Linked DNA regions of Stegostoma tigrinum. Each later gene encodes a partner of the first gene's protein in a complex. Links are inferred from orthologs where the notes say so. Each region holds a gene or a part of one and is shown on either strand. Other genes may lie near its edges. The genes, in order: agk and timm10b.

Evidence for each region.
Region 2: agk (region 1) and timm10b share a complex: the UniProt entries of both Homo sapiens proteins name them as parts of the TIM22 complex. The link is inferred for Stegostoma tigrinum from reciprocal best matches to the Homo sapiens genes AGK and TIMM10B.

What each region holds. Positions count from the first base shown.
Region 1 is NC_081371.1:24,070,924-24,086,753, reverse strand, and holds the start of agk (acylglycerol kinase, mitochondrial), read right to left. Parts: upstream 7,260-15,830; 5' UTR 7,161-7,259; coding exon 7,060-7,160; intron 1,876-7,059; coding exon 1,836-1,875; intron 1-1,835. UniProt on the Homo sapiens protein: Lipid kinase that can phosphorylate both monoacylglycerol and diacylglycerol to form lysophosphatidic acid (LPA) and phosphatidic acid (PA), respectively. Does not phosphorylate sphingosine. Phosphorylates ceramide.
Region 2 is NC_081359.1:113,854,413-113,870,206, forward strand, and holds the start of timm10b (mitochondrial import inner membrane translocase subunit Tim10 B), read right to left. Parts: upstream 8,705-15,794; 5' UTR 8,653-8,704; coding exon 8,632-8,652; intron 7,593-8,631; coding exon 7,497-7,592; intron 6,077-7,496; coding exon 5,807-6,076; 3' UTR 5,346-5,806; intron 1-5,345. UniProt on the Homo sapiens protein: Component of the TIM22 complex, a complex that mediates the import and insertion of multi-pass transmembrane proteins into the mitochondrial inner membrane.

The DNA.
Region 1 (15,830 bases):
AAAATGATACACTTGTGCAGATGGGGTTTCTGTCCTATCCTGGAATAGGCTCTTGCGTAATAGTGAAGACACTTTCACTCAACATCAGACACATACTGTGCCTGACATTGAAATAGTTTGATGGGAAGTCTACTTGGAGTTTTACTCTACATCTAACTTGTATCACACCTGACATGGGAGTGCTAAGTACTGACAATGAAGTTAAAACATGATCTGTTAATAATGCTCTACCCTATACAAAAGCAACCACAAAACGCATCCAACATACAACATGGAATTTTGGCCGGTAATCTGATAATATACTGCCTAGTTTATTTACTTAAAAATATTTTACCCTGACAGATACAGTGAAGCACTTAGGCATATATTAATAAAATCACAAAAATTTTAAATGTTGGTAAAACAGCCGCTTAAGAATAGATTAACTGTCATATCAACTCAAACAAGTTACAACCCTGAAAATGCTTTCAAACTTAAAACATTATAAATAAACAGCTTACTTTTATTTATCTCAGAGTTTTAAGTTTCCATTTTGATCAACACCTGTCACTGTAGTGGTAAGATGGTGCTCTGTACAATTGGTGAAGAAACATGGAATCTGGAAATGCATTGTTTTTTACAAATTTGCAACAACCTGCATGTGTTTACATATAGGATAAATAAGTGATGTACCGAGGCCAAGCACTAATAAAATGTCAGAAACTGTTAAAATTGTAATTACAAAAGAGAACGTTATTGCAATTAAGTGCATATTTGTAGTTCTAACACATCCTAAAGGCTCTAACTTGGAGCTAGCTGAATGTTTTAAATATTCAGACTCAACTGTCACTTCAGACAGCTTGGTCCCAGGACTCTCAGGGAAAAGCTACACAGGCCTTCCAAGTCGCTTGTAAACCAAGATTCAACACAACAGGAATATAAACCTACACACCAGTGTCAGAATACTGTTATGCTGCCTCTCTAATAGTTACAAACGGGACCCTCATTAACCTTCTCAGCTTAACTTTAAGGAATTATACACAGAATTACTGAACCACTCCTGAAAATGCCATGTTTGTGGTGCTGACACAGTCATATAGAATCTACTGTCCACTAAAAGAACAGCAAACATTGATTGCTCACATTTTTCAATTAGATGGGGGTTGGTTGTCCAAGGTAGTAGAACAAAGCATAATTCTTAGTATATTTATTCAAGGTAGGTAAAGGAACATTGGGAGCAATAGTCCTCTTGGAGCACAGATTTAATAATGTACCGATTGTACTTGCAATTGCAGAGTCTGGTGGGATTTTTGATGACATGAAAGAGTCAAATGGACATAAAAGTCACTTCTTAAAGTATACATCTAACGAAAGGAGATCAAGAGCAAAGAGACACCCAGGCAGCAAACAGCAGCCTATCAGTCAATTATACAGTTAAAAAATATTCAGGTTTGCACTCAATAGACTTTTGGGTTTGACATCAGCAGTCTTTGACAGACCAAATGTCCCTTAAAATCAGGACGTTACCTTTATGTCCAATGTTTAGTCACAATAATATAAACTGGTAGATACATCACAGTTGAAAACATGATGTTATATAAACTGGATGCTGCAATCTCATATTTGCATGCATTCTGAAATACAAACAGAAAATGCTGGAGAAACTCAGGAAATCTGACAGCATCTGTGGAGAGAAACGGCATTAACATTTCAGGTCCAATACGATTCTTTTTAAGAACTCAAGAAAAATTATAAATTGAACATCTACCCCACAAAGCCTCAGTAAGTACACAGGCTAATTATAGAGGCTAATTAATCAGCGAAAAAATTCATCCAATAATTTCCGAGTGCCTTACCTCTGCCTGTTGACATGCTGCCCTGCGCAAGAGATTGTCCCTAAATAATACATTAGAAGATATGTTAAAGGACTATATGGAATTACAGATATTTTTATTGAAAGTACTGTTTGTAATCAATTTTAAAGGAATAACTGCAAACATTTGAGTGAAAATATCTTACCAGACTTAAACTTTTACTTTTAACTTTCTTATATTTTTAATGTTCTTCAAAGTTGGGCAGAATTGTTAATGTTCCGGTACTATCTATAATATGTTTTAATTCTTATTCCAGTACAGAGCAGTTACATTATTGGGTAAAAATCAAGTCAAATGTCTTGTGCTTTATTGTAATTCCTGCTTATTAAACCTAAATTGCATGTCACAGCTATCAATTTTAAACAAAATTACAATTGCATCATGCCTGAGACAACAGTGGTATTATAATACAATGAACTTTTGGCATCAATACTTAGCCTCCAGTCCTCCCTAAACTAAGTGACGTTAGTGACCTTGAACAACCAGCTCTCTGATAAATTTAGATTATTTGACTTTCATGCTCATTTGGCTCACAGAGTCTCAGACTACTTCATTTGAGCTTAAGACCTTGGATTTGACGATTAACTGCTGTTATAGAAAGGGTCTAAAATGAGTAACCAAAACTGTGGCAGATGGAGGCCAATGTGAAAAGTTTGAGGTGATCTACATCAAATCTGCCCCTGCCAAAAAATTCAAAAGTAGGTGATTTGTTGATAAGAGATGATCTAAGGAATTAAAGGAGAGAGGGGAATATCTATACTAAATTGGTTTAATGACAGGAAGCAGACGTTAGTAGTGAATTGGGTGTTTTTAAGACTGACAGGTCGTTTGCAGTGATGTCCCACAAAAGTTAGTTTTGGGTTCATTCCTCCTTTACATTTTAATAAACAATCTATCCTGGTTGATAGGAACAATGATGCAAAATGCATACAGATGGTGTGGGACTTAGCAACAGTGGTGATGATAGTTTACAGACTTCAGTTTGGCACAGAAATGAAGGTGTAATGAACAAAAGCATGGTAGATGGACGGCACAGTGGAGAACTGTGAAATTATATATTTTGGAAGGACAAATATTAAAAAATAATACTCTGCATGGCACAATTTTAGAATGCACAGTTGAGCAGAGAAACCTTTGTACCCACATGCATGCATCTTTAAAGGCTAGAGGCAATATTGATGTACAGTTAAAGAAATCATGTCGGTTTATAAATGGAAATGTAGAATTTAAGAGCTAAACAATCACTCTAGAACTATACAAATCATTGATTAAGCCTCAACTGAAATGACATGAGCAATTTGCAACATGTATCGGAAAAGAAGGCCACAGAAAGAATGCTGAGAAGGTTGTTTAAGATGTTACCAACGATGAAGGCGTTCCACTTATGTGGAAAGGTTGGAAAATTAAACATATTTTTCTTCATACACAAAAGGTGAATACGTGGCCTACTAAATGTTTAAGATCAAGAGCGGCTTTGATAGAGAAGACAGAGAATAAAACTACTCCCTCTGTTGAATGGGGCAACAATCAGAGGTCTCAAATTCATAGATACTCAGCAAAAGTTTTAGAGTGGAGACTACAATTTTGCTTAATTCACAGTTGGCAGGATCTGGAACATTCTACTTGAAAAACATGGTCTATGGTAATTCCTTAAATGATTATTAAGTGTGCTGGACAGATACTGGAACACATGAAATGTAAAGTGTTACAGATAGAGAGTAGGGGAACTGTGACTAAATGCAGCTGCTCTTTCATAATGCCAGCAGGTGCACATTGGGCTGAATGACCTTGTGTTGCACTGTCAACTGCTCAAATTCTGACAAGGTCAAAATCTGAAGTACACTACAGATCATATCTCCCTAATCCAACGCCCGCTGGTCCAGCAACCTCTTTGGTTCATCATTCTCAGTAATTTTGGATTTTCCTGTAGTGGTACCTGAAGCTCAGCTTTGATTTTCATTTTTATTACTTTTGGTTACACTTTGTCCAGTTGGGTGACCTAAACCCATTTGTTGTTGTTCAACTGAATAACCATTCATCCATTAGACAAGTGATTGTTTCAAGTCAAGGTTAGCCCTTTTTCTTTAAAAAAAGTGTTTATTTGTTGAATACACTTGAATACCTCCATTGGTCTGGCAAATTCTCCTTTCTAGTTAAGGTGCCAAGACTGACAGATTAGAACAATACCACATGTACCCAAAAAAGGGGGAAATCGAACTCCATAGGAAATTATAAATGACAATTAGTTGTGTTGCTGGAAAGGACTGGTTCATAGGGTTATGTGGAAAAAGCAGTGATATGGAGTTTAAAATGGTGGTCCATCATGTTGCGCTGACTATCTTACTTCTGTCGAATAAAATTCTATAAACATTTTCTTAATTGGGCACTCTAAATTGTAAAATATCAGAGGGTCTGCAGGTACATAAACCTTAAGTGCTAATTTAGTGGTACAAAAGTAATTTAAAAATTCAACATAATGTTACTGTTTAACATAAAGGATTTGTAATACAAAGAATAAATTATTCGTTGATTGTTCAGATGAAATCGAGAGTATTATGTTCAGCTTTGTGAACCAAGAAGAGTATATGGTCTTTGGAGGGAGCACAGTATAGAAAATGATTGGTTTGACCTGCTCGAATTGATAAAAATAAAACTCAGTACAGTCAATGCTGAGAAGTTATGTCCTCCAGTCAGATGCAGAAGTCAGAACTGTAGGGCCCATTCTTAAAATTAGAGCTACTTGATACACAAATTAAAAAGTACTTTGTACCACATGGAAATAATGGAATTCTCTACTTCAAACTTTATTTAGATTCAAATGAAATTCTGCAAACTGATTCATTTGTTAAAAAGTAAGGAAACGAAGTTGAGCTGCTAAGCAGCCGCAATCTAAATGAATAGTAAAACAAGCTAGATCTATTTCTGGTCTTGTGTCTCCACTCAAATGACTGTCCCCAGAGGTTTACAGCCCACCCACTTCTCATCATTCTCTTCTGCTAAGATGTACAATTGTCAAATTCCGACCTGAATCTAAAACCACTCAAAAAGGTCATTACGTCACCCAGTCTATCTATATCTGTGACTATGGCCTGTAGCTTAAAAGAGCCTCCTAAAATTATGCCCACATAACAAGCATGCAATACTGGTTAGTTTCTAGTTTTTAAATTACATGATCCACATAGACTTCATAAGGCATTCAACAAGGTTCCGCACTATGGACTGGTCAGCAAGGTTAGGTCACATGCATTATGGGGAAAATTAGCCATTTGGATACAGAACTGGCTTGAAGGTGGTGCTGGGTTCCTTTTCAGACTGGAGGGCTGTGAACAGCGGTGTGTCAGAAAGATCGGTGCTAGGTCTCTGCTTTTCATCACCTATATAAATGATTTGGCTATGAACATAGGAGGTAAGGTAAGTTTGCACATGACAACAAAATTGAAGGTGTAGCGGACACCAAAGAAGGTTACCTCAGACGGCAGTAGGATCTTGATCAGATGGGCCAATGTGCTCAGGTGCAGCAAATGGAGCTGCAATTTGGAAAGGAAAATCAGGGCAGGACTTGTACACTTAACGGTAAGGTCCTGGAGAGTGTTGCTGAACAAAGAGACTGTGAAATGCCAAATAGACAGCATAGTGAAGGTGTTTGGTTTACTTGACCTTACTGGTCAGTGCTTTGGAGTACAAGACTTGGGAGGTCATATTGTGGACATACAGGGCACTGGTTTTGAATACTGTATGCAATTCTGGTCTCCCCGCCATAGGAAGGATGTTGTGAAACTTGAGAGGGTTCAGAATAGATCAACAAGGGTGTTGCCAGGGTTGGTGGGTTTGAGCCAGAGGGAAGAGCCTGAATAGGCTGGGGCTATTTCTCCCCCCCTCCTCGAGTGACAGAGGCTGAACAGTGACCTTATAGACAGTTATAAAATCATGGCGGGCATGGATAGGATGAGCAGACAAGGTCTTTTCCTCAGGCTTGGTGGGGTGGGAGGGTTTCCAAAACTAGAGGGCATAAGTTTAGTTTAAGGTGAGAAAAAGATTTAAAAACCTCCCAGGGCAATGTTTTCACAGAGGCTGGCACGTGTATGGAATGACTTGCCAGAAAAAGCAATGGAGGCTGGTACAATTACAACATTTAAAGGACATCTGGATGGATACATGAATAGGAGGAGTTGAGGGATATGGGCCAAATGCTGGTACATGGTACTAGATTAATTTAGGGTAGCTGGTCAACACAGACAAGTTGAACCGAAGAGTCTGTTTCCATGCTGTACGGCTTGGTGACAGTGGGTGTAACTAATAACACTACAATTCTTTTTCTCCAGTTTCTATAGCTCACATACAAGAACGTAGCACATACTGAATGATTCCAAAGAGTAGAGATAGTGGGAACTGCAGCTGCTGGAGAATCCGAGATAACAAAGTGTGAAGCTGGATGAACACAGCAGGCCAAGCAGCATCTCAGGAGCACAATACACTGATTCTATCTCAAGTGCATATTATTAGTTAGACAGAAGTGATGCTAAGTTTGTATTATACAATACCATGCTTTAGCATGTCCCAGGTTATGCATTTTATGTCTGCAGCACCAGATACCTTGTGTTACATAAGTCTTTTTCTTTTTTTTCCCCCCCTTTTAACAATACAGCATAGAACAGGCCCTTTGGCCCTTGATGTAGTGCTGATCTGTGAACTAATCTAAGCCCATGCCCCTGAACTATCCTACATCATTCATCCAAGGACTGTTTAAATGCCCCTAATGTGGCTGAGTTAACTTTCCATCTATTTTGTTCTATGTCAGCTAGATGTGGTGGCAACAAGAGTACTTAATGACAATCGAGGATATGGCCCCTACCAAAGAAGAGGAGGATCTCAGTGAACGAGCAGTTTCTAGCCCCAGTCCTGGTTAAAAGGTGGTTTCTAGTCCCCGTCCCTTTTTATGATATGTTCACTCATGGGATATGGACATGACTAGATGGTCAGCATTTATTGCCCGTCCCTAGTTGCCCTTTAGATGCTGATGGTGGTGAGCTGCGTCCTTAAACTGCTGCAGTCCATGTGGTCTGGGTCCACCTACAATGTCCTGAAGAAGGAAATTCCAGGGTTTTTGCCCAACTACAGTGAAGGAACAACGTGCAGGTAGTGGTCCCAGGTAAAGTGCCGATTTTCTCCAGCCCCAGCCCCCCACAGGTGAAGGACTCTCTAATACCGGTATCTCCTGTGCACCCAGTGCGCTCCCCAGCTCAGTCCGCAAATCCCGGCCGCTGTTTTCTTCCAGTGATTGCGCAGCGTCTTTAACACTTTAGCCATTCCCTTGGTTCCAGATCCCGGCACCGATTCCACGCAAAATAGACCACTTTTAAATCAACTCAGCAAATCCGGAAATGAAGCTTCCTCCTGTTCACATGGAGACTGGTTCCGTGTATAAAGCGGTCCGGCCACCAACAACCCGCTTTCACACCTGTTCCGTTAATCAATCCCCAGTAACATTCAGGTGCAAACTACCAGTGCCATACTTATGAAAACTTACTTTGTTTGTATACTACTATTTTTACAACGAGAGAATTTTGTTCAGGATGGAAAAAGTTCTCAGTTTATGGAGGAAGTTATACGAAAACCTCAGAAAACCATGAACAACAATCTAGACAGTAGCTGCACTAACTGTTGGCCCTACTGAACACAGCTACTTCCACATTCCTATAATATCCTCTTCTTATTTGGGTAGGGACCACATCCTCGATTGTCATTAAGTACTCTTGTTGCCACCACATCTAGCTGACATAGAACAAAATAGATGGAAATCCCCTCAGGCTTTACTTCTGTGGTTTTCAGGCTGATCGTTCCTTGACACAATTTAATTATGTCATGACAAAAATAAACAAAATCCTTTTAAAATTATTTTAAACAAATTCAAATCTGTAATTTGAAACAATATACCAATAATGTTGCAAGATACTATAATCATAAGTAGAGGTGAAAATTGATTCAGAGATAGTGGGAACTGCCAATGCTCCTCAATCCATCTTCTATCCGCCTTCCCCCTCGCTCCCTATTTATTTCAGAATCCCCTTCCCTTCCCCCATTTCTGAAGAAGGGTCCAGACCCAAAACGTCAACTTTCCTGCTCCTCTGATGCTGCTTGGCTACTGAGTTCATCTAGCTCTACACCTTGTTATCTCAGATCCCCCAGCATCTGCAATTCCTACTATCTCTTAACTAGAGTTGCCTTCTGTTTAAATTCCAGGTGTTTGGAAAGTAGCACAAAATGCTGTGAATAACAAATACTTAACAAGATTTTGCAGTCCTTAAGCAGGCTTTCACATTCTATACCTAATGAGTTTAACTTAGAGTGTGCTGTTGCTGTACCTCATTAATCCAGCTACTACAGTAATTCTATTAATTGAAGAGGAGATAACAGCACCTAAGCTATTTTGTAATTAATAAATACAAACAGTGGTTGCTCTATGCAAATAAAGTAAATCCATCCTGTTAACAGCTTCACAGGGAAAGAGACATTAGTAATCAATTAGTAATCAGCTGAAATCTGTGTAACTAGGTGATAGAGCAAGGCTTGAATGCAATCAAATTCAAATGTCCCTTTAAAACTTTTACTCCAGTTTCTTTTTGCAAAATATTCAGCTGTTCTCGTAGGATCTTACAATTGTGAAGGAGACCGTTCTGTTCATCATGCCAGTGCTGGCTCGGAGTTTTATAATTAGACTTCAACAGTCACATTTCATTCATTTTACAACTTCTCTCTTTCAAAAATTTGCCAAGTTCTTTTTCAAAATTATTTTTGAAGCTGCTTCCGCCAGCCTTCCAGACAGATCATAACTGATTACAGAGTCTTTTATAATAGCCAAAAGATCCGCAATTCATCCCTCACACCCCGTCCCGGCAATAACCACCAAAAGAGAATCCTCCTCGTCATCACATACCACCCCACCAACCTCCAGATACAACGCATCATCCTCCGACACTTGCGCCATCTACAATCCGACCCCACCACTAAAAACGTTTTTCCATCCCCACCCTTGTCTGCCTTCTGGAGAGACTACTCTCCCTGTGACTCCCTTGTCCGCTCCACACTCCCCTCCAACCCCACCACACCCGGCACCTTCCCCTGCAACCGCAGGAAGTGCTACACTTGTCCCCACACCTCCTCCCTCACCCCCAACCAAGGCCCCTGGATGACTTTCCACATCAAGCAGATGTTCACCTGCACATTTACCAATGTGGTATACTGCATCCACTGTACCCGGTGTGGCTTCCTCTACATTGGGGAAACCAAGCGGAGGCTTGGGGACCACTTTGCAGAACACCTACGCTCAGTTCACAATAAACAACTGCACCTCCCAGTCGTGAACCATTTTAACTCCCTTCCCATTCCTTAGACGACATGTCCATCCTGGGTCTCCTGCAGTGCCAAAATGATGCCACCCGTAGGTTGCAGGAACAGCAACTCATATTCCGCTTGGGAACCCTGCAACCCAATGGTATCAATGTGGATTTCACCTACTTCAAAATCTCCCCTCCCCCCACTGCATTCCAAAACCAGCCCAGCTCATCCCTGCCTCCCTAACCTGTTCTTCCTCTCACCCATCCCCTCCTCCCACCTCAAGCCGCACCTCCATTTCCTACCTACTAACCTCATCCCGCCCCCTTGACCTGTCCGTCCTCCCTGGACTGACCTATCTCCTCCCTACCTCCCCACCTATATTCTCCTCTCCACCTATCTTCTCCTCTATCCATCCTCGGTCCGCCTCCCTCTCTCCAAATTCATTTCAGAATCCTCTCCCCATCCCCCTTTTCTGATGAAGGATCTAGGCCCGAAACATCAGCTTTTGTGCTCCTAAGATGCTGTTTGGCCTGCTGTGTTCATCCAGCTCCACACTTTGTTATCTTGGATTCTCCAGCATCTGCAGTTCCCATTATCTCTGAACACAGAGTCTTTTATCTTTGTTCACTTGGCCTTTTTTTTGATGATTATTTGAAATCTGTCCTCTGGTTACCAACTGTTCCTGCCACAGGGAATAGTTTCTCCTATTTAATCTATCAACTTTTATGAATTTTGAAAGCCTATATCAAATCTCTCTTTCATCGTCGCTGCTCTAAGGAGAACAAACACAATGTCATTCATCCCTCTACTTAACTGAAGCTGCTATCTGATATTCTTGCTGCCTCTCAGTATGTGACATTCCAATGAATTCTTGCCTACTAGTACAGATGTTTTATTGAATTTTATTATAGAACATTTACACACTTTAAATTCTCCTGTTTTGTAATGTGGGAATGAGCCTGTGAGTATGCCCAGATGTCAAGTCTCTGACATACTTCAAGGAGGACGCAATGGAGCGAGGTTCATCGTGGAGGCTTTCGGGAGCAGAAGTACCGTGGGCTTGTTGTTGTTGGATTGTTTTGGTAGGGTTTTTCACTTCTCCACTTCTTGTGGGGTTAAAGACAATCTTACAGTCAGTAAATCTGTTGTGGCATTTTATTTTCTGTCATCCATTTTCTTTTTCTTTTCTCTGCAAAATGAGACACAGGAAAAAGGACCAGATAAAGAGGCAGATGTGACAAGTGCCTTCACTTCAGGGAAAGATGATAATTGTTGCCTGAAACAGGTGCAGGCCATGAATGTACTCTCAGAAACTGAGGATTTAAAGTGTAGGCTCAAGAAATGAACATTGAAGAATTTGTTGGCCTTATTTTTTTGTTTAGAAAGGATTCTTTCAGATTATAAAATGATGTTGAGCTAGTGAGGACCTCTTCCATTTGTAGCAGGGCATTACACATTAACGGGAGTTATCTCAGTGTCAAATTGTAATGTGGTCTCGAGCATGCTTGACTTAAAGGCACATCTGCAGGTATAATGCCAAAAGAACTTATGAATACAAAGCCTTGGAGGTTTTGAGTGCCAGATTGGAGACGTTGATGGATTTCAGCCTTTGATCTACTGGGATTCGATCCAGACAAGCATATGTCAGGGCTTCCCTTGGATGAATGCAAAAGAATGGGTGGTCTTCTGTGGTGCAGATGAATGCAAAGGGACAGTAGGTCTGAGGTGCATCTGTTTTAATGCAAGAAGTGTAGTAGGTAAGGCAGATGAACTTAGAGCTTGGATTAGTACCTGGGAGTATGTTGTTATTGCTATTACTGAGATTTGGTTGAGGGAAGGGCAAGATTGGCAACCAAATATCCCAGGATATAGATGCTTCAGGCGGAATAGAGAGGGAGGTGAAAGGGGTGGAGGCGTTGCATTACTGGTCAAAAAGGGTATCACAGCAGTGCTGAAGGAGGGCACTACAGAGGACTTAAGCAGTGAGGCAATATGGGCAGAGCTCAGAAATAAGAAGGATGCGGTAAGAACATTGGGGCTGTACTACAGGCCTCCCGACAGCGAGCGTGAGATAGAGGTACAAATATGTAGACAGATTATAGAAAGACTTAGGAGCAACAGGGTGTTGGTAATGGGAGATTTTAATTTTCCCACCATTGACTGGGATTCACTTAGATGGAGCAGAATTTGTAAGGAGCATCCAGGAGGGTTTTCTAGAGCAGTATGTAAATAGTCCAACTCAGGAAGGGGCCATACTGGACCTGGTGTTGGAGAACGAGTCCGGCCAGGTGGTTGAATTTTCAGTAGGGGATTACTTTGGAAATAGTAATCACAATTCCGTAAGTTTTAGAATACTGATAGACAAAGACGAGAGTGGTCCCAAAGGAGGAGTGCTGAACTGGGGGAAGGCCAACTATAGCAAAATTTGGCAGGAGATGGGGAATGTGGATTGGGAGCAGCTGTTTGAGAGTAAATCCACATTTCATATGTGGGAGGCTTTTAAAGAGAATTTATTAGAGTGCAGGACAGACATGTCCCTGTGAAAATGAGGGAAAGAAAGGGCAAGATTAGGGAACCATGGATGACATGTGAAATTGTGACACTAGCAAAGAGGAAAATGGAAGAATATATAAGATCTAGGTGACTGAAACAGATGAAGCTTTGGAAGAATATCAGGAAAGTAGGACGAATCTGAAATGAGGAATTAAGAGGGCTAAAAGGAGTCATGAAATATCTTTAGCAAACAGGGTTGAGGAAAATCCCAAAGCCTTTTATTCATACATAAGGAGCAAGAGGGTAACTCGAGAAAGGGCTAACCCACTCAAGGACAAAGGGTGGAAGTTATGTGAGGAGTCAGAGAAAATGAGTGAGATTCTTAATGGGTACTTTGTGTCGATATTCACTGAGGAGAGGGACATGATGGACGTTGAGGTTAGGGATAGATGTTTGATTACTCCAGGTCCAGTCAGCATGGCGGGGGGGGGGGGGGGGGGGGGGTAGTATTGGGTATTCTAAAATGCATTAGAGTGGACAAGTTCCCAGGTCCGGATGAAATCTATCCCAGGTTGTTGAGGGAAACGAGAGGGGAAATAGCTGAGGCCTTAGCAGATATTTTTGCAGCATCCTTGAGCATGGGTGAGGTCCTGGAGGACTACAGAATTGCTAATGTCCCCTTGTTTAAGAAGGGTAGCAAGGTTAATACAGGTAATTATCAACCAATGAGCCTGACATATGTGGTGGGGAAGCTGCTGGAGAAGATACTGAGGGACAGGATCTATTTACATATGGAAGAAAATAGGCTTATTAGTGATCGGCAGCATGATTTTGTGCAGGGAAGGTCATGTCTTACCAACTTGATGGAATTCTTTGAGGAAGTGATAAAGTTGATTAATGAGGGAAGGGCTGTGGATGTCATACACATGGACTTCAATGAGGTGTTTGATAAGGTTCCCCATGGTAGACTAATGGAGAAAGTGAAGTCGCATGAGGTCCAGGGTGTGCTAGCTAGATGGATAGAGAACTGGCTGGGCAACAGGTGACAGAGAGTTGTAGTGGAAAGGAGTTTCTCAAAATGGAGAACTGTGACCAGTGGTGTTCCACAGGGATCCGTATTGTGACCACTGTTGTTTATGATATACATAAATGATCTGGAGGAAGGTATAGATGGTCTGATTAGCAAGTTTGCAGACGACACTAAGACTGGTGGAGTAGCAGATAATGAAGGGGACTATCAGAGAATACAGTAGAATATAGACAGATTGGACATTTGGGCAGAGAAATGGCAGATGGAGTTCAATTCAGGCAAATGTGAGGCGATGCAGTTTGGAAGAGAAATCTGGGTGTTCAGGTCCGTTGTATCCTAAAGGTGGAAATGCAGAAGATAGAATGGTCAAGAAGGCATACAGCATGCTTTCATTCATCAGACGGGGTATTGAGTGCAAGAGTTGGCAGGTCATGTTACAATTGTGTAGGGCTTTGGTTTGACCACATTTGGAATTCTGCATACAGTTCTGGTCTCCACATTACCAAAAGGATGTGGATGCTTTGGAAAGGTTGAAAAGGAGGTTCACCAGGATGTTGCCTGGTATGGAGGGCACTAGCTATTTTTAGAGGTTGAGTAGATTAGGATTATTTACATTAGAAGGATTGAAGTTGAGGTGGAACCTGATTGAGGTCTACAAAATCACGAGAGGTATAGACAGTATGTTGTGGATAAAGATACCACCACCTGGTATATCAATAAACAAAGCAGTATTAGGTTTTGGACCACATTAATTGACCTTACCCATAAAGTGTTTGATGCATTGCCATTGCCTTCAGCACCATATTCCAACACATTTAGGAAAAGTATGCTGACTACAGTTTGAAGTTTTCTTTCAGGGAAGGCAAGGGCCTAGCGGTATTATCATGAGACTATTAACCCAGAGAATCAGAAAGTGTCCTGGGGACCTGGATTTGAACCTCACCAATGGCAAATTGTGAAATTTGAATTCAATAAAAACAAATCTGGAATTCAGAATCTATGATGACCATGAAATCAATGCCAATTGTCAGGAAACACTCAGGTGGTTCATTAACGTCCTTCAGGGAAGAAAATCTTCCATCCTCACCTACTCTGGCCTATCAGTGACTCCAGACCCACAGCAACGTGGTTGACTCTCAGTTACCCTCTGAAATGGCCATTCAGTTGTACCAATTGCTACAAAGTCTCAAAGAAATGAAACTGGATGGATCAACTGGCATCGACCTAGGCACCAAAAAAGACAACAGCAGAAACAGCCCTGTCAGCCCCGTGAAGTCCTCCTTACTAATATCTGAGAGGCAGAGCCAAAATTGGGAGATGCTTCTCATAGACTAGTCAAACAACAGCCTGACATTGTTTGTAAGGGTATAATTCTGTGAGTATGACTATGTCCCAGATACCACCATCAAAACCTCTGGATGTGTCTTATCTCACCAGCAGTACAGACCTAGCAAAGGTGGCGGCACTGTGGTATACAGTCAGGAAGGAGTTGACCTGGGAGTTCTCAACATTGACTTTGGACCCCACGAAGTCTCATGACTTCAGGTTAAATATGGGCAAGGAAACCTCCTGCTCATTACAATGTACTGTCCTCCTTTAACTGATGAATAAGTACTCCTTCATGTTGAACACCGCTTGGAGGAAGCACTGAAGATGGCAAGTGAACAACAACACCTTCCAGACATCCAGTACAGAAAATCTGTACCCTTGCCACATCCCCACAATATTGGGTACTTCATCAATGTAAATGTAAAATCAGAAGATCTGATATTGCCAATTTTACATTATCAGTCAGCACTAGAATTAATTCCATTTGATCACTAAACTCTTTCTTCTAAAGTGTTTAAGTTACTTACATTAAATAGTCCTCCTCACTTTTCCAAACCATGGAAGCAACTTTGTTGCCAACTGTATTTGGTGAACTGTGCTGCCCCCAATAACTTTGCTTAGGTGACAATTTGACAAATTACACCCACAGCGAAATGGTTATTGTCTCTGAAAAAAAGTGTAATTGTGTTAGAATCTGCTTAAATATTTGTTATAAGTAGGTCCATTTTGTGCTGGCACAGCAGTATTTCACACCAGCAGCATGTCTTGCTCACACAGGACCATGCAATTGAAGTTCACTGAAAAACACATTCAGAAAAACAACACTGTGGCTTGCCCACTGTCTTATATTTACATTACTTGAACTATTGAGCCATTCTCTTTTTTGGGGGAGACAAAAGTAGATGTTTAATGCTTCACTGGAAAAGCTCATAGTATATTAAATTTAGTTTGCAGTGACTTCCATGAATTATTTCTACATTATACCCAACTCGTATCAGAGATAGAAAGAACTGTCAATGCTGGAGTCAGAGATAACACAGCAGGCCAGGCAGCATCAGAGGAGCAGGAAAGTTGACGTTTCAGGTTGGGATTTCGGAAGAAAGGTCCCAAACCAAAACATCAACTTTCCTACTTCTCTGATGCTGCCTGGCCTGTGTTCCTCCAGCTCCACACTGTGTTAACCCAGCTCATATGTCATGTCTGCACCAATTGACCTCCTGTTGTCATACTATTCTCACATCCATTGCATCAACTTTTGCCTGTTATAAATTATTACATTCACATTTATTATCAATCTGCTCTACGTTAAAATGTACAATTTGCAACAAAAGCTAATACGTCTTTGAAATGGATGAACAATAAATTTTACAAACTGGCTCCTAGAGACCAAGATAATAAAATGTGAGGCTGGATGAACACAGCAGGCCAAGCAGCATCTCAGGAGCACAAAAGCTGACATTTCGGGCCTAGACCCTTCATCAGAGAGGGCGATGGGGTGAGGGTTCTGGAATAAATAGGGAGAGAAGGGGAGGCGGACTGAAGATGGAGAGAAAAGAAGATAGGTGGAGAGGAGAGTATAGGTGGGGAGGGGATAGGTCAGTCCAGGGAAGACGGACAGGTCAAGGAGGTGGGATGAGGTTAGTAGGTAGGAGATGGAGGTGCAGGTGAATACAAGTGGTAATGGGACAAGACTGAAGAATCGCAACAGACCCTTTGAAATTCAATGAACACCTCTAAAGGTAAACAGAAACTCCTTGACAATGGCTTTCCTGGAGGGGTGAATAGCTCTT
Region 2 (15,794 bases), on another chromosome or scaffold:
AATATCTGATGATCTCAGACCATGCTCTTGCTGTTTGCAACAACAAGCTAACATCTGAGATTTTTCCAAGTCTTCTGCTGTGAACAGGCAAAATATGTTATACACCTCTGCCATTTCCTGGTTTTCCGTTGTCAATTCTGACAATCTTTACAGGATCAATGCTAGGTTTAATTATAAAAATGGAAAATGCTGGAGAAACTCAGGAGATCTGCCAGCATCTGTAGAGGGAAACGGAGTTGACGTTTCAAGTTTGATATGGCTCTTCAGAACGGAACGAAATTGAAAGTGGTGGCTTTTAGAGTGTTGATAGTTGGGGGGGGGGGGGGTGGGGGGGGGAGGAGAAGAGGAGCACATGGAACAGATTATGCCCAGAGCAAAAGTCAAAGGGAGTGCTGTTGGTGACAATGGAGGGATAGAGACAGAAATAGATTCAGATGATTGGTGTGAACAGGAGAAAATAGCTCTGCTCCACTGAAAGCAAAGTCAACAAAACACAAAAAACATATAGCTGAGAAAACTCAGCAGGTCTAGCAACGTCTGTGGAGAGAAAGCAGAGCTAACACTTTGTGTCCAATGACTTTTTAAAGCACTCTGACCTGGAGTAATCAGATCTGAAATGTTAATTCTGCTTTCAGAAGCAGAATCAGAAACAAGATCAGAATTCGCTGGAGAAACTCAGCAGGTCTGGGAACATTTGTGGAGAGAAAGCAGAATTAACATTTTGGATCTGATGACTCCAGGTCAGAGTGCTTTAAAAAGTCATTGGACACAAAGTGTTAGCTCTGCTTCCTCTCCACAAATGTTTCCAGACCTACTGAGTTTCTTCAGCAAATTCTGATTTCCAGTATTCACAGTTCTTTTGGGTTTTTACTTAGATTTAAACAAGTCACCCGGGGTGGAGTTGGAGTTGGTGGTAAATTGAAGCGGAGGGCAGAGACTAAGAAGTCATTGAGCTGAATGTTGAGTCCTAGACTTCTTACGGCGAAAGGCAACAAAGGATATAGATAGAACGCAGGAATAGAGAACAGAGGTGGATGATCAGCCTTGAGTGTACTGAATGACTTTTTTGATTTGATTTATGATTGTACTGCGATGTAGAGATAAAGTGAATTGTTTTCTGAGCTGACCAAACTGTGCCACTGTGGATAACCAATAAAGAGGCTATTTTTGCCACTCATCGATCTTGGCCATTATCGAGCACTATTCCACAAATTGGCGTAGTCGGCTGGATCGCTGGGGACACCGTTGAAACTGACCAGTCACTGACACTACCCCAAAAGCAAGAGAGTTCCTTCTTAAAGTCATGACCTGGTCGCTGAACATGATCCCCAACCTCTCGTGAGTTGGCCCTTTCGAATACCCTTGTGCCCAGACATTGAGTGCTCCAAATCCACTGAAATAGCCCATGGCAAAAAATTGCCCTTGGCACAAGTATTAGGGTGACTATGAGTGACCCCAGTAAGCTGCCTGTGACCTCCAAAGGTGGGCTGGTCCCTCCTGACATTGCTGACTAAGAAATGTTGTGGCAGTTACAAAACTACTTTGAAGTACAGTTCTGGTTAGGGAAAACCCTAACTAAAGTCGGGCAGGAATACAATATTCCCATAAGACAGTTGACCCTAGATGATATGCAACACATCTGGGGAAAAGCCAACTGACAGAAAGATAAGGGCAGAACTAAATGGTCCCTTGAGGTAATGGGACAAATTCACCAAAAGAATGAAATCATGTCTTGATCAACTGATGATGGTGAACTAAACCATCTTAAAGAGCAATTAAAAGAAATGCATGAACAGCTACAAAAGCAGGGATCAAGTGAGAAAAGGCTGAATTTAGAAATCAGGAGCTTGAGAAAGAAAACAAGAAACTGAAGGACGAGTTTGCAGTCCTGTCAATTTCTTCCCCGGTTCACAAGTCCATACAGAATTTGTATCTAACTACCTGTAACATCCAGGAAGTGGGTTAGCAAAACCTAGTTATTGCCTTTGGGTCCTCTAGCAGTGACAGTGATGGCAACTATACCCCTGGTACCATTTTTACGAGTCCTTAAAACTAAGGAGGTAAAAATAGAGAAAGTGGTATGGCAAAGGTTAGAGGACCAGTAAGGTGGATGTTCTAGTAAAATGGACCAAAAAACACACTGTGCATGAACCCGAAACCCCTGAAAATTCAGACAGATGGTCTAAATAAAGTCTCACCCAAAGAAAGGGCCAATGAAGACATGGGAAAGCCTAGACTGGTTAAGGGGAGTATATATGCTCTATCCCTGAGATGGGGTACAGATGCTGAATTGTCATTAAAAGGATGCCTTCTCCATGAGGCAGGCAAAGGTACTCTTGGGGAGTATGAGCAGGAGCTGCAAGCTGGATGAATAGCAATAAAACATTGGTTACAGGGGTATAGTCCACCTAAGACCAACTGGACAAAAGTCCTGGCTTGCTATTAAAAAAACTACGGAGGAAGTCCCAGAACATGAGGAAAGATTTAGGACAACTTGGAAAGAATATGCAGGAGTCTCAACTTTGCAGGACAACAGGGATTTTGAAGGATGTGATTATAGCCTGCTGAAGTTGGCTTTTGTGGCCAGGTTTAAAACTGAGCTTACTAAGACGCTAAAGCTCACCAAACCAGAATAGGACCATTCGGGAACGAATTATTACAAACTGATGGATCGATCCCACTAGCTCGACCGAGATATGGATGCCAAATTGCACACCCTACAGATAGGACATATGGGACAGACTCCCAGTAAAACCCTCTGAGAAAGACCCAGAACAAACACCCTGGGAACTGTTATGTCTGTGGGAAGGAAGGCCACTGGACAAGAGGGGGCTGACAAAGAGGAAAAGGGAGAAGTCACCCAGTAAGCAATAAGGAAGAGAAGATGCCAAAAACTGGGAGTAAGACCGATCAGCTAGTGCTGTTTAAGGAGCTAATTGCCCAGCAGCAGGAGTTGATGACAAAAACTGAGAGAACCCGCTGTGCTCCTACTGGCTTTATGCCAGCAGGTGGGGAGATGGACTGTATGTGACCATGAGTGCAGCCAAACTGGACAGTGAATGCCTTTTGAACACAGGAGCAGAGTTGACCTGCCTACCCCAGAAGCATGAGACCAAACTCCCGCTAGGTGGGACAGTGAGAACAGCATACAGAGCAGGGGCTGATAGGATCGAAATTAAAAGGACCAAACCCAATCAGAGTGAATTTAACCCCCGTGGGTTAGTAACCTCTGTATGGGTAGGAGCTGTAGCCCAGCTGCTCCTCGGGATGGATATCCTCACCCGACTAAATTCATCCTTACATTTCACGGAGGGTCAGACGATGTGGTTCATCAGAACCCTACAATGGGAAGAATTAAAAGACCACCTCATCTGGGCTAAAGATAAGTTCGACTGCGGATCACTGCAAATAGAACCCACGACTGTTACAGGAGCACCTCCACCTTGCACTAAACAGTACCCCATCAGCCCAACGTCTACTGCAGGGGTCTTGCTGATAATTCGGAGATTAGAGGAAAAAGGGGAGAGGGAACTGGAATAAATAGGGAGAGAGAGGGAGGTGGACCGAAGATGGAGACAAAAGAAGATAGGTGGAGAGGAGAGTATAGGTGGGGAGGTAGGGAGGGGATAGGTCAGTCCAGGGAAGATGAACAGGTCAAGGAGGTGGGATGAGGTGGTAGGTAGGGAATGGAGTTGCGGCTTGAGGTGAGAGGAAGGGATGGGTGAGAGGAAGAACAGGTTAGGGAAGCGGAGACAGGCTGGGTCTTTCCTAACTTGTTCTTCCTCTCAGCCATCCCTTCCTCCCACCTCAAGCCGCACCTCCATTTCCGACCTACCACCTCATCCCGCTTCCTTGACCTGTGCGTCCTCCCCGGACTGACCTATCCCGTCCCCACCTACACTCTCCTCTCCACCTATCTTCTTTTCTCTCCATCTTCGGTCCACCTCCCCCTCTCTCCCTATTTATTCCAGAACCCTCTCCCCATCCCCCTCTCTGATGAAGGGTCTAGGCCCGAAACGTCAGCTTTTGTGCTCCTGAGATGCTGCTGGGCCTGCTGTGTTCATCCAGCTCCACACTTTATTATCTTGGATTCTCCAGCATCTGCAGTTCCCATTATCACAGACATTCTAATCCCATCAGGAGTAACAGTCAGCATTTAGCAAGTGCTTAAACGATCTCCTCCTCCGTCAAGACAGATATCATGCAAACTTGTGTACAATTGACACAACTACCTGATACCATAGTGCTAAAATTTTATCATTAAAGAAAATTAAACCTTTAAAAATCTGTGTCTAAAAAGAGTCTACTGTAAAACAGTACTTTGGATTCCATCACCACCTCAAACGGTGCCACTGTGGATGCTCGATAAAGAGGCTATTTTTGCCACTCACCAATCTCGGTCATTATTGCACATGATCTCACACCATAAACACACTGGGAACACAAGAATGTTCAAACAATGTCTACTATTAGTGAAATATAGCAAGGTGGCTCAGTGGTTAGCACCGCTGCCTCTCAGTGTCGGGGAGCTGGGTTCAATTCCACCCTCGGGTGACTGTGTGTGCAGTTTGCACATCCTCCCTGTGTCTGTGTGAGTTTCCTCCCATGATCTAAAGACATGCAGGGTAGGTGAACTCGCCATGCTAAATTGCCCAGGGAAGTTTAGGTTAGGTGAGTTAGGCATGGGAAATATAAGGGTAAGGGAATGGGGTTAAAATTGTTTCAGAGACAGTAGGAACTGCTGATACTGGAGAATCTGAGATAACAAGGTGTAGAGCTGGATGAACACAGCAGGCCAAGCAACATCAGAGGAGCAGGAAAGCTTGCTGTTTTGGGCCTAGATCCTTCTTCAGAAATTTCTATGAAGAGTTCTACAAATAAGGGTCTAGGCCTGAAATGTCAGCTTTCCTGCTCCTATGATGCTGCTTGACCTGCTGCATTCATCCAGCTCTACGCCTTGTTATCTCTGGTAAGGGAATGGGTCTGGGTGGGATGTTCTTTGGAGTGGCGTTGTGGTCTTGTTGGGCTGAATAGCCTGTTCCCACACTGTAGGGATTCTATGATGCTTCTATGAAAGACTGGTGTGGCGTCTCTGTATGGATTATTCCCACAGTGACGCACTCACTATGTCTGCAATTTTACCTCTTAGTTCTGGGCAGCTCATCACTCACAGAGGGACCATACTCTTAGTGGTAATGATATAATTCATGTGTTTGGGGCCTGGAGTAGACGACAGACTCCTGAACTGATAGTTCAGATGATAAAATATTCTGAAACATTACCCACAATTTCTTAAACAACATCTGTGAACTGAAATAAGTGCTGTCATTTGACAAGGGTCTCACCTGTAACTTAAATGTATATTAATTCACTGAAGAGCAAGGAAACATTTTCAATGAAACTAACTTTAATCAGTTCCATGCCTTGGCTGTCTTGAGCTCCTTTTTCGTTTAAGATGTTAACAGTTCAGCATTCAGGAGTTGAGTTTTCACTTTCACAATGTGAAACGCTCTGGCTATTCTGGTCAGTATGACCTTTGGTTTCCAGTCTTGTCACTGTCTAATAGTTGCGGTCAGTCCAGTTTGGCCCATTCCAGACCACACTCCAGCTTCTGTCAACACAAATTCAACTACCTGTTTAAAATGCCAGGTGATGTAGATATTGAGCTGGGTCTGTTGATTTTCTGTTACACATCAGCTCCCAACTGATGCCGTTTGATTCGCTGGAAGTTGGAAGGAATCACTCAATCTGTGCACGCAAGGGTAAGTGAAAGAATTAGTGCCAGGGTGACACTGGGAGCAAGAAACTAACTCTGGTCAGGAGAGCCAGTGTTAGTCTGATTCAGTGGGTCAGGGATAACAGAATTTTCCAAGTCCCCTGGTACAATTTCAGCAATGTTACTTTGGCCCTCTGATGCAGGCAGATTCACATTTGATTTCTGCACAACCTCTGCAGCTTTTGCCTCATAGTCAGAGATTCTTCTTTGAACAATGGTTGGCATGAGCCGGACGTAGGAACTCATTAACCGATGGTTGGTGTGGATCAATTTACCAGCACAATTGTTGATGCAATTCTCCTAGAAAGAGAGGAAACATATTAAAGCACATTCCGTTCCAGAGCATACCATCAACAAACTGTGTCATATCGTACAGACACCTAATAGGCCGCACTGTCAAAGGGTCATGAGTAATTTGTCAATATCTCTGCAATTTCCACTTTCCCTTCCATATCCTTGGCATACATTGTTTTTTAATTCTCTTATGAGGTGTGGGTGTCATTAGCTGGGCCCAGGATTTATTGCCCACCCATATTTGCTCCTCGAGATGGTTACGGTGTGCTGCCTTCTTGAACTGCTGCAATCCATGTGATGTAGCTAGACCCAAAAAGCCCTAAAGGAAGGAATTACAGGATCTGACCCAGCAACACTAAAGGAACGGCAATATATTTCCAAGTCAGGATGGTGAGTGTCTTGGAGAGGAACTTGCAGGGTATGGTGTTCCCATGTATCTGTTGCCCTTAATAAAAATGAAAAGAACTGCGGATGCCACAAATTAGGAACAAAAACAAAGTAGCTGGAAAAAGGTCCTTCTGTATGGAAGTGGTCATGGGTTTGGAAAGTGCTGTCTGAGCAACGCTGGCAAATTTTTGCCATGCATCTCAACTGGTCTGGTGACTTCTCACTGCCAACAGTGTCTTGAATACCAGCTCCTTATTAACCTTAAACCCTTTCAGTGACTGAGATTTTGTCTCTGTCACCATGTACTGAGCAGCACCTGCCCCTTAAGTAAAGATAGCTGCAAAGTATTTATCTAACACCGAGCTACATCTCTTGGTTCTAACTGTAATAGCCCATTTTCATCTCTGGTTAATCAAAGGGTGAAAGATTACTGGGGATGGAGTAATGATATGAGCCAAGAAGGAGGGTCAAAATGATCCCTTGTTCCTGATTTGTGTGATGAGGTTCAAAGAGTCAGAGAGGTCTCAGCACAGAAAAAGGCTCTTCAGTCCATCAAGTATGCACCAGTCAAAAACTGTCACCTAATTATTCTAATCTAGGATTTGGCCCATTCTCTTGCCTGTCCTGGCATCAGAAGTGCACATCTAAATACTTCTTCAATGTTAAAGCGGCTTCTGCCCTTTCCATCCTGACAGACTGAGTTCCAGATTCCCATCAACCTCTATGTGATATTTTTCCTCAAATAACCTTTAAACTTTATGGCTCTTCCCTTAAATCTACACATCTGCTCATTGATCCCTCCAAAGGGAAAATTTCTTCCTGTCTACCGTATCTACGACTCTGATTATTGTATGCATGTCAACCACATCCACTCTCAATCTACTCTGTTCTGTTCTAAGAAAAATAACCCCAGTCTTTCCAACCTCTTTTCGTACAACTCTCTAGTCTAGGCAACATCCTGGTAAAATTATGTTTAAACCCTTTCCAGGGCTATCACATGCCTCCAATGATGTGTGCAGCTGGTCATCCTTGGATTTACCTCAGTCAATGTGATGCTCCTGTAGTTGAGGTTGGCCACACACTTGTTGAAGCAGGTTTCTGTCATTTTGTTATAGACCAACAGGAAGTCCCGCAGCTGAAACAAAGAGAGAGCGAGCGAGCTGGAGATTAAGATCACAGAGGAGCAGAAACAAACCCATACACCTACCCCTCCATATATGCCATTGACCTCCTTCCCGTGAAAACACAGATGCTAACACAGCCATTGCTGTCCGTAAATTTCCACGTGAGTGTATGATGTTGGGAGTGGGGGATAGGAATGAACGGATGTATTACTGAGGGGGTTTGTGCAGGACATAGACTCTGGGGGTGAGGGGGATTCTTAGTGAAGAGGGCAGCCACATGAGATTGGGGCAAGTGAGCTGGGGAGGGGTTAGAACACAGAACATAGAACATGACAGCACAGTAGAGGCCCTTCGGTCCTCGATGTTGTGCCGACCTGTCATACCGATCTCAAGCCCATCTAACTACACTATTCCATGTACGTCCATATGCTTATCCAATGATGACTTAAATGTACCTAAAGTTGGCGAATCTACTACCGTTGCAGGCAAAGCGTTCCATTCCCTTACTACTCTCTGAGTAAAGAAACTACCTCTGACATCTGTCCTATATCTTTCACCCCTCAATTTAAAGCTATGCCCCCTCGTGCTCGCCGTCACCATCCTAGGAAAAAGGCTCTCCCTATCCACCCTATCGAACCCTCTGATTATTTTATATGTTTCAATTAAGTCACCTCTCAACCTTCTTCTGTCTAATGAAAACAGCCTCAAGTCCCTCAGCCTTTCCTCGTAAGACCTTCCCTCCATACCAGGCAACATCCTAGTAAATCTCCTCTGCACCCTCTCCAAAGCTCCATATCCTTCTTATAATACGGTGACCAGAACTGTACGCAATACTCCAAGTGCGGCCGCACCAGAGTTTTGTACAGCTGCAGCATAACCTCTTGGTTTGTGGGGGAAATTGGAGGGGGTGGGGGGGTGAGGGAGGGGTGGGGGTGGGGGGGGTGAGGGAGGGGTGGGGGTGGGGGGGGTGAGGGAGGGGTGGGGGTGAGGGAGGGGTGGGGGTGAGGGAGGGGTGGGGGTGGGGGGGGGTGGGGGTGGTGAGGGCCTCACGTTGCGAATCTCCGGCTCCATTCTGTCTCGACGACCTTTCCCAAATCGCTTCCGGTGAGCCGCCCAGTTGTGTCGTCACTTCCTGGCGGTGGCCCGCCCTGGCTCCGGGTCCCTAGAAACCGGCTCAGGCCCCTCCCCGCCGAGAGACACCCGAGCGGCAGCCCCGGTAAGAGAACGGGGCGGGGGGAAACAAGAGGTCCATCCCATCCCCCCACCCTAACCCGTCTCCCTCTCCCTCCTTCCCCCTCCTCCCCGACGCCCCCACTCTCCTCCCCCCTCTCCCCCCCCCCCCATTAGTATTTGTGTGTCGCTATGATTTGTGAACTGCTGGGGAAGGTGTCTGTTTGACCAGGGAGTGCCCATCATACTCAGGACGGGTTGCTATTCTCAGTTGGTCAGTGTCACCCAACTGCCCACGTTGTCTTACCCACTGCTAGTGCAGTCCACCCCCTTGACCTGCTCCCATGGTATGAACCTGCCCTCTGTATATTTCTCCACCTCCTGCTGTGGTTTGCACTGATGTAGTTGCTGATCGTAGCGTGTATTTGGAGACTAATTCTCGCCCTGACCTTGTTGACATCACTCGATGTGTCTCACCTGCATACATGAACGAAAATTGTAGACTCTTCAAACATCAAACTGCGACACAACAAGCTGAGTACTGCTTGGATCACAATGTGTAACAGAGTACTCCCTCTGTGACATGCACACATCCTACAGCCTGTATTCAGTGCTACCACCACCGCCTCCCTCCTTGTCTCTGTAACCTCCTCAGGCCCCTGACACGTACCTTGTCCCTCCTCCTGTCACCCCATTTGTGGCTATTCCTTTAGCCTCTTCAACCCCACACATCAGTCCACGTAACAGGAATGCAGTTTGCCAACATCAGAATTCCTCATTGTTTATTCACGGTAAGGGTCACTAACTGTTGCAGTTCAGAGTCACTATTTATTCAGACTAGTAGCAGGAAACTATAAAGTGCTGTGTTAAACATGGTAACAAACAGGAGCAGGCCCTTTAAGCCTGCTGCATCATTCATTGTGATCATTGCTGATCATCCACTCGAGTCTGTGCGTGTTTTTACCGATCATTGTTTGATTCCTTTAAACTCGGGTACTATCTACAATTCCCTCTTTTAATCATTGTGTTTTTATTGACTGCTTTCGGTGGCAATGAATTCCACAGGCTCTCTACTCTCTGGGTGAAGAAATTTCTCATCTCGGTCCTAAATGACTTATAATGACTTAGACTGTGTCTCTTGGTCCTGGATTCCACACTTGTCATCCTTCGTGCATCCACCCTGTCTGGTCCTCTTTGAATTTTAAAGGTTTCAGTGAGATATTCCCCACCCCACTGCATCATCCTTCTGAAATCCAGGGAATAAAATCCAAACAGATGCAATCTTTCCTCCTACAACAAGGTTAGGTCACTTGGGATCCCTGGAGAGCTAGCGAATTGAATTCAAAATTGGCTTGATAGTAGGAAGCAGAGGGTGATGGTTGAGGGTGATTTCTCAGATTGGAGGCCGTGACTAGTGGTGTGCCACAGGGTTCAGTGCTGGGACCTTTTGTTATTTGTTATTTACATAAATTATCTGGATGTGAATGTACGAGGCATGATCAGTAAGTTTGCAGATGATACAAAATTAGGAGGTATCGTTGATAATGAGGAAGGTTATCAAAAATTACAGAGGGATCTTGATCAGATGGGGAAGTGGACTGAAGATTGGTAATTGCAATTCAATACGGATAAGTATGAGGTGTTGCACTTTGGAAAATCAAATCATGGTAGAACTTATGCAGTAAATGGTAAGGTCCTGAGGAGTGTTGTGGATCAGAGGGACCTAGGAGTACGAGTACATAGTTCACTGAAAGCCGTGTCACAGGGTAGATATTTGCATGCTGGCCTTCATTGGTCGAGGCATTGAGTATAGGAATTGGGACCAAAAACAAGTTGCTGGAAAAGCTCAGCAGGTCTGGCAGCATCTGTGAAGGTAAAAAGAGTTAACGTTTCGGTTCTGGTGACCTTTCCTCAGAACTGAGAAAGTTACTTAGTTCTGAGAAAGGGTTACCAGATCTGAAATGTGAACTTTTTTTTCCCCATCGCAGATGCTGCCAGACCTGCTGAGCTTTTCCAGCAACTTTGTTTGTTCCTGATTTACAGCACCTGCAGTTCATTTGGTTTTTACATAAGAATTGGGACGATCTGTTACAATTGTACAAGTTGTTGAGGCTGCACGTGTAGTATAGTTTTCAGTTTTAATTACCCTGTTATAGCAAAGACATAGTTAAACTGGAAATTGTGCAAAGAGGATTTATGAGAATGTTGCCAGGACTAGGAGGCCTGAGTTATTGGGAGAGATTGACCAGGATAGGAATTTATTCCTTGCAACATGGGAGAATGAGGGATGATCTCATTGAGGTGTATAGGGCATATATAGAATGAATACATTTAGTCTTTTTCCCAGGAATAGTGGGTTGAAAACTAGAGGATGTAGGTTTAAGGTGAGAGGGGAAAGATTTAAGAATGACTTGAGGGGCAACTTCTTCACGTAGAGGGTGCTGCATATATGGAATGGGCTTCCCGAAAAAGTGGTTGAGGCGGGTATAATGGCAACATCTAAAAACTTCTAGATGAGAAGGGTTTAGAGGGATATGGACGAAATGTAGGCAATTGGAACAAGCTGAATGGGCACCATGGTCAGCATGGACCAGTTTATGCTGAACGGCCTGTATTATTCTATGACTCTATAACTATCCCAGGAATTAATCTGATAAAGCTTTGCTTCATTCCCTCTGTAGCAAGAACATCCGTCCTCAGAGAAGGAGACCAAAACTGCACATAATACTCCAAGAGTGGCCTCACCAAGACCCTGTATTACTGCAGCAGGACATCCCTGCTCCTGTACTTGAATCCTCTTGTTATGAAGGCCAATATCCCATTTGCCTTCTTCACCTCCTGCTGCAACTGCATGCTTATCTACAGTATATCATGACACCCAGGTCTTGTTGAACATTCCCCTCTCTCAATTTCTTGCCATTTAGATAATGGTACGCCTTCCAAGTTTTTGCTTCCAAGTGGATAACCTCACATCTTTCCAAATTATGTTTCGACAACCATGCATTTGCTTACTCACTCAACTTGTCCAAGTCACACTGCTGCATTTCTGCATCCACCCACCCATCTTTGTGTCATCTAGTACCCCATTGTCACTGTGTACTACTCAGAAAAAGACCCATTTATCCCTACTCACTGTTTCCTGTCTGCTGTCATCGGTGGGGAGAAAAACAGAATTCATGCATCAAGTCCGGTATGGTGATTCTTCAGAACTGCACGGGTTGGACAAGTTTTACCATTCAACCTGTTTGGAGATGTTATTACACACTTCTGGAGCAGGTGGTAATTGAACCTGGGCCTCCTGGCCCAGAGGTAGGGACACTGCCACTGCATCACAAGACAGCCTTTAAAATGTTGGTTTAAATGAGATGGCTGAATCCCAACAGAGTGAGCCTGATATCCCCGTAGGCAGATTCATTTGTATAACGTACAGGAACAGGCAAAAGGAAGGAGTTGAGTGTTAGATGTGGGGTAGCAGTAATGTTTGGAGAAGACATTGTGGTATTGAAGAGAGAATAAGAGGGGCCAAGGCCCTGTTACAGGAGTTAATTTATAGACCTCCAAATGGACACAGATGGAGCGAAGCAAATCTGCAGGGAAATCACATGGAATAGCTTGGTAATACTTTCAGATTTGAATTAAACAAATATATATGGGGAACAATTTTAGAATAATTGGGAATGAGGGTGCTGAATTTATGAAATGTGCTCAGGAGAACGTCTTTGATCAGTGTGTTCTTGGCCCAATGAGAAACAATGCTGAATCTGGGTGCTGGCAAGTGTTTGGGGACGCCATTGTATCATTTAAATTCGGATTAGTAATGCAGAGTAATACTGGGTCAAGAGGGGATCAAACCAGTGTAAAGACTGACTGGAATGATTGATGACCTTTGAAAGACAAGTAAAATAGACATATGATTCTAAAGGGGGTGAAGAAGCAGACGCACCTCGGGGTATATGTGTACAGATCATTGAAAGTGGCAGGACTGATAGAGGAGGCACGTGTATGCGTATGAGTACAGCATATACAGTATTCTCTGTACAAGACACTTGTTAGACCCTCAGCTGGAGTAGTGTGTACAGTTGTAGACACCACATCATAGGAAAGATATGAACACATCTGCAGAAGTGATATATAAGAATGGTTCCAGGAACAAAAAACTTCAGTGATGAGGACAGATTGAAGAAATCGCAATTGTTCGACATACAGGTTGGAGTGAAGAAGGCTAAGAAGAGATATGATTAAGGTTTTCAAAACCATGAGGGAGCTGGACAGGGTATATAGGTTCCCACGCCCTGAAAAAATAATCCAGAAACGGAAGCACCGATATAAAGTGAGTTGCAAAACAAGTAAAGGTGAGGTAGAAACACAGTATTGACACAGTGAGTAGTTGGGTCTGGAATGCACTTTCTGGAAATGTGACGGAGACAGGTTCAAATGAGGCATTCAAGAGGCACTAGATGATTATTGGCTAGAAATAGTGCTCAAGACTATGGGGGAAAGAACAGTGGATTGGCACGAAGTAAAGATACCCCTTTGAAGAGCTGGTACAGGCACATACAGCCCTGTTGCATTTTTCTCTAGCTGGGGGCGTGGCACTTCAAGTGATTATCTAAATACTTATTTTTCTCCTCGGTAGAACTGAGAGTTGATATTAAGATGAGTTGAATTTTGGATAGCTACGTGTTTTAACAAACAAATGCAGTTTTTTGATATTGGAAACTGTTATCTTTAGTGATATAAATAAAGCTGTTAATGAATGCCCAAAGACCATAAAGTGTAGGAGCAGAATTAGGCCATTCATCCCATCAAGCCTGCTCTGCCATTCAATCAAGATGTGTTTCTCAACTCCATTCTCCTGCCTTCTCCCTGTAACTCTTGATCCCCTTACTAATCAAAAACCAATCTATCTCTGTCTTAAAGACACAATGATGTGATCTTGACAGTTCTTTGTGGTGATAAGTTCCACAGATTAATCACCTTCTGGCTGAATAAATTCCTCCTCATCTTGGATCTACAGGGTCATCCCTTTGCTCTGAGACTGTTCCCTGGAGTCCTAGTTTCTCTTCCTAATGGAAAACCTTCTGCATGTCCACTTTATCCAGGCCCCTCAGTAATCTGTATGTTTCAATCAGATGTCGCCTCATCCTTTTAAACTCCAGCGAGTACAGACCGAGAGTCCTGAACCATTCCTCGTGTGACAAGCACTGCATCTTGGGTTCATTCCTGTACATTTCCACTGGATGCCCTCCAGCGCTAGCACTGTTTTCCTTAGATACAAGCCCTAAAACTCTCTCAATGTTCCAAATGCAGGCTGACTAGCATCTTGTACAACCATATCAGTGTATCTATGCTCTTGATTCTAGCATTCCTGAAATGAATGCCAACATTGTATTTGCCTTCCTAACTGCCAGGTGAACATGCGTGGTAATCTTAAGAGAGCCCTGAACGAAGATTCCCAGTTTGTACTTCAGATTTCCTAAACCTTTCCTCATTTAAAAAATAGTTTATGACTCTTCTTCCTAGCAAAGTGTGTAGGCTTACATTTTCCCCACATTGTATTTCATCTGCCACCTCTTAAGCCATTCGCCTGGCAGGTAAGTCCTTCTGCAGCCTCCCACTTCTTCAGCATAACAGTCCTTGCACCTGGCATTCAGCTTGATCTTGAGTTGGTCAATCAAGGAATGACTGAGGCTAACCAGCAAGTGCAGAGTGATTTTTGAAGCTTTGGGACTAGCTGCTGTTTCTTACTATCTCATGTTTTGTATCCAGTTAAAGAATTATTCAATGTTCTGAGAGAAGACTGTAAGGAATAAATAAATATTTCTGGAAGTCTACCGAAACTATTCGTATTCACTGGTGATTTTGAAATTAAATTTACAGTTATATGCCTGTGAAGTACTCATTATTCAAGGATCGCACAAAGACTTGGTATTCATCATTCAAAACTGTTTTACTGAACTAGCAAATTATAACGTTTATTTTCTTTTTAGTTTATCCCTTAACTATGTCTGCCTGTTTCTGTGTGAATCAGGGTTTATGATCAAAGAAGATTGGGGTTTAGAACGTAGAACATAGAACAATACAGCGCAGAACAGACCCTTCGGCCCTCGATGCTGCCCCGACCTGTGAACTAATCTAAACCCCTCCCCCTTCACTATCCCATTATTATCATAAGTACAATATTGATTAGATTATCTTGTTTGGCTTTGCCCTGCCATAGTTGCAGTCTTGATAAATTGTTAATAATTTTTATTTAAGTTATAAGCTTGGTGTTCAGGATTTGTTATTCATAAAATTTTATTAGGAACAACTGGGCAATTCTCAGGGTCATTGCATATTTTAGTTTCACGCGTTGTGTGTCCAGTGATAGTAGGGTTGATTGGGTTTTGCTTGTTTTCCATATCTTAACAGTACTGAACTGGATGATCAGCCATGACCATATGTTAATAATATAATTATATTCTCGACTAGTTTCCCGTGCAAAACCTTGTCAAAAATCTTATTTAAAAAGTCCACGTAGATTCCATCAGCTGCATTGCCCTCATCCACACATATATATTCACCCTGGGTTTCCTCCCACAGCCCACAGATGTGCAGGTGAGGTGGATTAGCCATGCTAAATTGCCCGTCGTGCCCAGGGATGTGTACAGTAGGTGGGTTACAAGGGGATGGGCCTGGGTGGGATGCTGTGAGATTCAGTGTGGACTTGTTGGGCTGAAGGGCCTGTTTCCACACTGTAGGGATTCTGTATTCTAAAAAATCATCTTCAATAACAAATCAAACACTTCAGATGTAATCTGCCCCTGACAAAGCCATGCTGACTACCCTTAATCCATCCTTGCCTCTCCAACTGGAGATTAATTCTGTCTCTCAGAGCATTTTCCAATAGTTTCCTTACCACTAATGTTGGAATCACTTGTCTATAGTTCCCTGATTTTTCTCTACCAACCTTCCTAAGTAATGATACCACCTTAGTGCTGTATCAGCCCTCTGGCACCTTTCTTTGCTATAAAGGATTTGATTTTTAATCTCACTAAGTTATG